Coturnix japonica: one gene and its partner. The protein of the gene in region 1 binds, or shares a complex with, the protein of each later gene. Links are inferred from orthologs where the notes say so. Each region holds a gene or a part of one and is shown on either strand. Other genes may lie near its edges. The genes, in order: MMS19 and CIAO1.

The links.
Region 2: MMS19 (region 1) and CIAO1 share a complex: the UniProt entries of both Homo sapiens proteins name them as parts of the MMXD complex. The link is inferred for Coturnix japonica from reciprocal best matches to the Homo sapiens genes MMS19 and CIAO1.

Annotation. Positions count from the first base shown.
Region 1 is NC_029521.1:19,483,356-19,487,955, forward strand, and holds the start of MMS19 (MMS19 nucleotide excision repair protein homolog), read left to right. Parts: upstream 1-1,543; 5' UTR 1,544-1,629; coding exon 1,630-1,717; intron 1,718-3,687; coding exon 3,688-3,736; intron 3,737-4,506; coding exon 4,507-4,600. Other genes in the region: UBTD1 (ubiquitin domain-containing protein 1), read right to left, coding at 1,139-1,385. UniProt on the Homo sapiens protein: Key component of the cytosolic iron-sulfur protein assembly (CIA) complex, a multiprotein complex that mediates the incorporation of iron-sulfur cluster into apoproteins specifically involved in DNA metabolism and genomic integrity.
Region 2 is NC_029537.1:1,034,564-1,038,875, reverse strand, and holds the start of CIAO1 (probable cytosolic iron-sulfur protein assembly protein CIAO1), read right to left. Parts: upstream 3,001-4,312; 5' UTR 2,976-3,000; coding exon 2,826-2,975; intron 2,279-2,825; coding exon 2,129-2,278; intron 1,863-2,128; coding exon 1,751-1,862; intron 1,167-1,750; coding exon 1,078-1,166; intron 896-1,077; coding exon 694-895; intron 1-693. Other genes in the region: TMEM127 (transmembrane protein 127), read left to right, coding at 3,114-3,369. UniProt on the Homo sapiens protein: Key component of the cytosolic iron-sulfur protein assembly (CIA) complex, a multiprotein complex that mediates the incorporation of iron-sulfur cluster into extramitochondrial Fe/S proteins.

The DNA of each region.
Region 1 (4,600 bases):
CCCCCAGCTCCACTTGCAGGAAAGGGAAGAGGGCTGGTGCTCAGCAAGGAAGAGGAATCCAGGGGCTGCAGAGAGGCACCCAAGCTGACGGTGTGGCAGGGAGCCCAGTCTGCAGGAGCAGGGACAGGCTGTGGCCCAACCGCCACCCCACAGCCACCGGCAGCCCTGGGCAGGTAGGCAGGAGCTAAGCCTCTTCTATTTATTGCTGCCACCCAGCCTGGACCCAGCCTCTAATCATCTTGTGTTGCTCTATTCCCAGCCGTTGTGCAACTCCACACCCTCGGGGGACACGGGGGGTCAGGAGTTGCCCAGCTGTGCTCTCACTCAAACCCAACATGCCGTACCTGCTGCTGCCCAGCTCAGCTCCCTGCAGGGCTGCTCCGGACAGACAACTTCCAGCACCCTGCAGCCCGCAGGGTCAGCCCTCCTATGAGCCACCTATGAGCCGGAGCAGCTCAGAGCCCCCAGCCTCGGGTTGCAGTGCTGGGGGAAGGAGGGGACACGAGGACAGCGAGCAGCACAGCGCACAGATCCGAGCCCTGCTCTGTGTGCCCAGCAGCATCCTGCAGCACCGCCCGCTCCGTGACAGCCGGGCACCGGTCAGTGGGAAAACCTCTCCCGTGAGAGGCCCACGCCGCGGGGTCCCCGCGCCCGGTGCTTCCTGCTCCTCCCCGTGTGGGTGCAGCGGGCGGGCAGTGACTCACCGTGCCGCCCGCCCGGCGCTTGGCGGGGCCCGTTGGGGAACGATGGGGCGCAACGGGGCGAATTGCAGCAGCGGGAGCGCTGCCCCCAGCCCGGCCGGTCCGAGCGAGCGGTGCTGGGGACGGGCCGGGGACACGAGGGGCTGGCGGGGCACCACGAGCCAATCCCGGCACGGGCACCGCGGCACTACGGGGTCACGCCGGGGATGCGCGGCGGCTCGAACCGGGAGCCCGGCACGGCACGGCACGGTACGGCACGGCACCGACGGGGCGCACGGGGAACGAGCGGGGGAATCCCCGGCACAGCGAAGAGCCGGGACGACCCGGGACCGACCCCAACCGGGCGGCAGGAAGAGAACGGCCGGCGGTGCCGTGCGGACAGCTCCAGCACCGGGCACGCCGCGACCGGACGCCCCGCGCCCTGCGGTGCCGCTCACCTGCTCTCTTGCGGGGGCTCCCCGCTGAGGGCCGCTCCCGGCGCTGCCGCCCCACGCAGCCGCCCATGGCCGGGGCTTCACCGACGGCGGCGGCGGCGCGGGCGGCTCGGCATGTGTCCGGCCGGGCTCCACGCCGCGCTGCACCGCGGGCTCCGGCGTCGTCAAACCGCCCCGCCCGACTCCGACCGCCCGAGCCGCCCCGCCGCCAAAGCCGGCCCTGGGCGCGCCCCGCCCCCCACGTGCGCATGTGACCGCCCCGTCGCGGCCGCGGCCCCGCGGGGAGCGCCGCCCACGTGCGCGCGTCCGTCCTGCCCGCGGCTTTTGTCCCTCCCGCGCCGCCGTACAGCGCCGTGCCGCCCCCACCAATACCGGCCGGGGGGGCGAGGTGAGGAGGGGGCGCCGGGGTCGCGCATGTGCCGTGGGCTCATGCCTCGGGGCTGCGCGTGCGCACGGCGGGAGCGCGGCCGGTGTGTGCCGGGGAACGGGCCGACATGGCGGCGGGAGCGGAGGAGCTCGGTGCTGCCGTGCGGGACTGGGTGAGCGGGCAGCACGACGGGCGCAACGCGGAGCTGGCCGCAGGTACCGGGCGGGGCGGGGCGGGGTGGGGTGCGGGGCTGCTGGGCCACGTGTCCGCCAGGTCCCACGAGCCGCACGGCGCTGTGACAGACACACGTGGGATGACGGGGGGATGCCGGCATCGTGCGGCCTCCGTGACCTGTATGGAGTCACGGCTGGAAGCGTTACGGTACAGCACGTAGCGCTGAGGGAAGGACAGGGTTTATTCTGAGCTCGGCGCCTTCTGTGTGACTGTGGGAAGAAACACGTTGAACGAGCTTCCTTTGTGCGCTGCATTCAATGTGCCCTGACAGGTGGGAGGCAGCTCGGTGCTGTCGCAGCTGGGGCTGCGTAAGGCAGCGTGTGTCAGAGGGGCTGAGTGTGCTCCTGTTAAAACACCGGGAGACGAATGACGCCGTTAGAGAAATCCATTGTGCCCGCTGGGAATTGCTGCACTCCCATTGTAAGGGAGCTGGGGAAACGTAAGGAGAAGAAAGTGTATGGAAATGATATATGAAATGTGGCACGTGAAAGGGAGATGTCAGGGAAGGCTGATGGGTTTCAAATAAGAATATAACAAAGGGTAACTTGCTCGCTTCTGTTTAGCCTCACACTCTAGGAACACCACCAGGGCAGGGCAGCCCTTCTGGTAAAGGAGCACACTGGGATACAAGGTGCACAGCTGGAGCTGAGCTCGCAGTTCAGCTGTGCTGCGTGCTGCTGCTGCTCTGCATGCTGCTGGGCTCGTGTGGTTCGCTCATGCACAGTGAAATCGAGCAGACCTTTGAGACCAGAGCGAGGGGGTTCATAGCCACAAGAACACGGGTGGCTGATTGTGGCCAGATCGTTACTCTTTAGCTCTTTCCTATTGGTGAGGTCACCGGCACCTTTGTCTAAATATTGCATTCAGGCTTTGAAAGTGTAGAGCAGGTCAGTGCTCACCTGTGGGACTGGTGTGTCTCTGACCTTTTGCATCATGCAGAGGTCAGAGTCATGAGGATGCAGGAGCTGTGCTCTGGAATAAGGTGGTGGGATCCTAGGTGTGAAGGAGCACTCTGCTTTGTGCTCAAGCACAGTGCCTGCTTGCTACCATGCTTCTGTTTTCCTGCGAGAGGCTTTGCCAGCAGCTCAGTCTCACTTGAGGCACCTCTTCTTCAGCCTGTGGCTGTCCATCCTGCGGCCAGCTGGACTCTCCTTTTTCCTCATGGCTCTCCATGCCGTGCCTCCTATCCTCTTTGTGCCAAGTGGGACTGGAAGTGCTGTCTTTGGAGCCAGGGCTGCTTGCTAACAGAAATTGTGGGCATTTCTTCTTCCATCCACAGAAACTACTCTCCAATGAACAGCACAACTTAATACTGGAATTAACTGCTTTAGAAAGAGACAGTAAATGCTGGCAATAGCAGGATACTCCAGCTGAGGCAAGGCCTGGGACAGTCCCAAATGAAACCTCTGGGCTTTCTGATAGGTGGGTGCCCCACCAATTGTGTAGACAAGCCCTCAGCAGGGCAGAGAAATGGTGAATCCTGGGGACCAAAGGCACGCAGAGCTGTTTTAGTGGGTGAGTGTTGCACTGACTGCAGGGGTAGGAGCCCCTCTGCCGTGGCTTTTGAAGGGTGCAGTAGATTCTCACCAAAGCCTCCTAGGGAGTGACTCTTCCCCCAGTTCAGTTGCAGGAGGTAAGTGAAGCAACCTGGCTGGGGTGCCTGAGTCAGAGCTGCAAATACACTCCAGCAGTCCCAGCACTGTGTCGTACAGTAACCACAAAACCATATTTCTCTGTGCTTTCTGCCTTGGAGGGCATTTGTGCAGGTGTTGCTCAGAGTAGAGGTGATGGAAGCTGAGTGCTTGTTAATGTCTGGGCTGTTTGGCTCAACCACTGCCTTGTTAAGAGCTTGGTTTCTTTTGTCCCCTAGGGAGCATCGGGAGAGCTGCTCTCTGCCTCAATAACTGTCTGGGAGTCTCTTTGGTTCACTCTCTTTATCTCTTTTCTCCAGGGGTGAAAGATGGAAGCTGGACTATTCTGCAGCTTGTGGAAGCCCTGGGGTAAGGAAAGCTGTGTACACATTATACATCGTGTAAGGGCTCTGTGGGGGAGATTCCCATAGTAAGGGGCAGTGAGAAGGAAAAGTGTGTGCTGACATCTCGTCCTGTGCAAACTGCCTTCAGCACCACCGGGCACACAGACACACCACAAGTTTGTTGCCTGCTCACTGCACGTTGCCCTCTCAGGGCATGGGAGCCCTCCAGGAAAGGGCAGGAGGGGCCTGTAAATCTCTCCTGGGACTGAGGAAAGGTGTTGCAGCATGCAGCAAGCCGCAGAGCACATTGCAGCTGAGACTCCCTAGCAGGAGCTGTCTGACCACACAGTTGCCCTTCTCCATGTCATGAGTTGACTGCCGCTCAGCTTTTAGTTCTGTCTCTGAGCTGTCACGGGCTGGGATTGGGGAACCTCATTTCTTTCCAGCTTTGTCTCCTTGTAGCAGGCTTTGCCCTTTTTCATCTCTTGTGATCTTGGGAGCCTGACTTTTGGTTGCGGAGCATGGTGCAAGAGCAATTTCCTTGGTCTGACTTGAGAAGAGGCCTCTTACCTTGGCTGTGCTGCTGTGTGAGACCAGGTGCTCGTGAGCAGCATGGTCAGGGGAGCAGGAGTCATCTCCTACCCTGTGTGCCAGTCAGGCAGCACCATGCTGCTGTCCCCCTGCCTGAAGAGCAGCTCCGTTTCATGCCTATAATGTGTTTGCTGGGGGGGCACTTCCTGCTTGTGTATTCCTGCTCACATCAGGCCTCTTGTGTTTTTACCATGTGTGAGCTAGGTTCTGCCTGGAAAACACCGATCCCAGGATGCGAGGGCGAGGTATCCAACTGCTGTCACAAGTGCTGTTAGAGTGTCACTCCTTGCTCCAGGAG
Region 2 (4,312 bases), on another chromosome or scaffold:
AGCCATGAGTGATCCATGTAAGCACTGAGTGATCCAACACAGCACTGAGTGATCCAACACTGAGTGATCCAACACACAGCACTGAGTGATCCAATGCACAGCACTGAGTGATCCAACACACAAGCACTGAAGTGATCCACACCGCACTTAGTGATCAATGTGTTACAGCACTGAGGATGATACCAACACACAGCACTGAGTGATCCAATCAGTACAGCACCGAGAGCACGCTGTAACCAACACACAGCACTGAGTGGATCAACACACAGCACTGAGGATCCAAGCACAGCAGCTGAGTGATTCCAACACACAGGCACTGAGTGATCCAACACAGCACTGAGTGATCCAACACACAGCACTGAGTGATCCAACACAGCACTGAGTGAATACAACACACCACAGCACTGAATGGATCAACACAGCACCTGAGTGGAATATCAACACACGGGCCATGCAAATGAGTGATACCACACAGGCACCTGGAATAGGATCACAACACAGCACTGAGATAGATACCAACACAACAGCATGAGTGATCCAACACGAGCATGAGTTGATGGCCAATGTACAGCACTGGTGATTCAACACTGAGTGATCCAACACACAGCACTGAGTGATCCAACACAGCACTGAGTGATCCAACACAGCACTGAGTGATCCAAGTCCCAGCAAGGAGCTGTGTTAGGAGCTCACCCTCCTCATTGCCCGGCTTGTAGCACTGCCAGATGCGCACGGTCTTGTCGTCGCTGCAGGACGCCAGGCGCTGCCCGCTGCCATCGAACGCGATGCTCCACACGGTGGATTCGTGACCCTCCAACGTGGCACAACAAACCCAGTCGTCCTCCTCCTCGTGGTACAGCTTCACCGTGTCGTCGTAGCTGGCTGAAGCCAGGAGCTGGGACAGGAATGGGATCAACACCCCAAACCCACAGGGATTGCAAAGCCCTGCCCCCATAGAGGACCATTCAAACCCCATCTCTTGGGAGCACTGACTCCTTATGGCCCTGTGGCTCAGATCCTTTCCCATCACACACAGTGATGCCCGCAGGTCCCGCTGCCCTTGAGCTGGGCTCTCACCTCCTGGTTGGGATGCCACACCACGTGCTTGACGTCCTGAGTGTGAGAGTTGAGGACGCTGACACACTCGTATTCCTCCTCTTCATCCACTGCGGGGAAAAACACCTTCCATGAGGGAATGGGGCCAGAAGGGACAGTATTGGGGTCAGAAGGGGCAACAATGGGGCCAGAAGGGACACAGTGGGGATGGAAGGGGCAGCAATGGGGCCAGAAGGGGCAGTATAGGGGGCAGAAGGGACAGCAATGGGGCCACAAGGGGCAGTATAGGGGGCAGAAGGGGCAGCAATGGGGCCAGAAGGGACAGTATAGGGGGCAGAAGGGGCAGCAATGGGGCCAGAAGGGACAGTATAGGGGGCAGAAGGGGCAACAATGGGGCCAGAAGGGACACAGTGGGGATGGAAGGGGCAGCAATGGGGCCAGAAGGGGCAGTATAGGGGGCAGAAGGGNGGGGCAGAAGGGGCAACAATGGGGCCAGAAGGGACACAGTGGGGATGGAAGGGGCAGCAATGGGGCCAGAAGGGGCAGTATAGGGGGCAGAAGGGGCAACAATGGGGCCAGAAGGGGCAGTATAGGGGGCAGAAGGGGCAGCAATGGGGCCAGAAGGGGCAGTATTGAGGACAGCAGGGACACAGTGGGGCCGATGCCCTTGGGGTCCCCTCATTCCCCCCCTCACCTTCCCAGACCCACACGCTCTTGTCCCGGCTGCACGTTGCCAGCAGGCTGCCCGACGGCGCCCAGGCCACCGACTTCACCTCGTTTTCGTGTCCTTCCAATGTGGTGACGCACTGTGGGGGGCACAAGGAGCTGCAGGGCGCCACTATGGGGCTGGGTTATGGGGCTGGGTTATGGGGCTGGGTTATGGGGCTGGGTTATGGGGCTGGGTTATGGGGCTGGGTTATGGGGCTGGTTATGGGGGTTGCTGGGTTAGTGGGCTGGGTTGTGGGCTTGGTTGTGGGGGTGGGCTGGTTATGGGGTGGTTGTGGGGCTGGGTATGGGCTGGGTTATGGGCTGGTTATGGGGCTGTGTTATGGGGCTGTGGGGGGGGTCTGACCTCGAAGCCGTCCTGGCAGCGCTTCCAGATGCACGTGGTGGCGTCGAAGCTGGCAGAGGCCAAATAGGAGCCACAGGGCGACCAGGCCACTCTCCTCACTGTGCGTTGGTGGCCATCAGACAGCACAGCACGGCAAGCCTCCAGCTGACCCTAATAGGGGGGGGGTGGATGGGGGACCCCAATAGGAGCCCAGCCCCCACCCCACCCACGTGTATTAGGGCCATTAAGCCCGCCCCCTCCTTTAAGCCCCTCCCACGCTCCTCTGGCCCCGCCCTTTTTACCCCACCCTCTCGGCTCCGCCTCCTATTGGCCACACCCTCCCTTAGCCCCGCCCCTTCCTTAAGCCCCTCCCACCACCATCTGGCCCCGCCCACATTCACTATGTCTCCGCCTCTACTCGTCAGCCATTGGCTGCGCCCTCTCTTAGCCCCGCCCCCTCCTTTAAGCCCCGCCCACGACCCTCTTAGCCCCGCCCCCTTTCACCGTGTTCCCGCCCCTACTCGTCACCCATTGGCCGCTCCCTCTCATAGCCCCGCCCCCATTCATTGTCCCCGCCCCTACTCATCAGCCATTGGCTGGGGCCTCCCTTAGCCCCGCCTCTACTCGTCAGCCATTGGCTGCGCCCTCTCTTAGCCCCGCCCCCACCCTTGAGGCCCCGCCCCTTCCTTCCGCCCCGTTATCCCCCTCGTTCCCGTTATCCCTCGGTACCGTCCCGCCCCCACACTCTCACGGCCCGGTCCCCGCCGCAGGACGCGATGAGGTTCCCGTTTGGGCTCCACGCCAGGAACCAGCACCGCGCCTCGGGATGCGCCGCCACGCGGCTCTGCAGCACCAGCGCCTCCTTCATCGCGTCGCACCGTAATGACGTCACACCGGAAGCGGAAGCGCCGCCATGTTGCCGCCCTAGTGACGTCACCGCCGCGCTCGCCGGAAGCGGAAGCGGAGCCCGCGGCCTGAGGCGGTGCCGGCTGTTCGGGCCGCAGCCATGTACAACCCGGCCGGGCCCGGGCTGCACGGCAGGGGGAGGCGGCGGGGAACGGCGGGAGGCGGCGGGGGGGGGGCGCTGCCCAAACAACCGGAGCGGAGCCTGGCGTCGGCGCTGCCCGGGGCTCTGTCCATCACCGCGCTCTGCACCGCGCTGGCCGAACCCGCCTGGCTCCGGATCCACGGCGGGACCTGCGGGCGGCAGGAGCTGGGGGTGGCCGATGTGATGGGGACCGTCAGGACCGAGCTGCTGAGGGGTGAGAAACGGGAGAGCGGGGAGAGTGGGGCGGTATAGGGTCCTTATGGGGCTTATAGGGTCCTTATGGGGTTATGGGGTCCTTATGGGGTCCTTATGGGGTCCCTATGGGGCTCGCTATGGGCCCGCTATGGGGTCGCTATGGGGCCGCTATGGGGCCGCTATGGGTTCGCTATAGGGCTCGGTGTGGGGTCCTTATTGGATCGGTATGGGATCGGTATGGGGCTTATTATGGGGTCCTTATGGGGTCAGTATTGGGTCGTTATGGGATCGGTATGTGGCTCGGTATGGGGCTCGCTATGGGGTCGTTATGGGGGTCCGTATGGGGTCGGTCTGGGGCTCCTATGGGGCTCAGTATGGGGTCCTTATGGGGCTCAGTATGGGGCCGGTATGGGATCGGTATGGGGCGTATTATGGGCTCGGTATGGGAATTGGTATGGAGCTGATGGGGCTCGGTATGGGGTTGTTATGGGGTCGGTATGGGGTCCTTATGGGGTTCTTATGGGGTCATTATGGGGTCTTATGGGGTCCTTATGGGGTCGCTATGGGGTCCTTATGGGATAGGTATGAGGCCCTTATGGAGCTCGGTATGGGTATCGCTATGGGGCTCGCTATGGGGTCCTTATGGGGCTCGTTACGGGTCTCATTATGAGTCTCCTTATAGGGTCTTTATGGGGTCTTTATGGGTCTATGGGGTTTTTATGGGGTTTTATAGGGTCGGTATGGGGTTTTTATGGGGTCACTATGGGGTCATTATGGGGTCCTTATGGGGCTCGATATGGGCTTGTTATGGAGTCGTTATGGGGCTCGGTCTGGGGTTGTTATAAGGCTGATGGAGTCCTTATTGGTTGTTATAGGGCCGCTATGGGGCTCCTATGGGTCATTATGGGGCTGAGGTTTGGGAGCAGCCACTTTGTGCTTCCTGCCCCTTCCATCCTTATGGC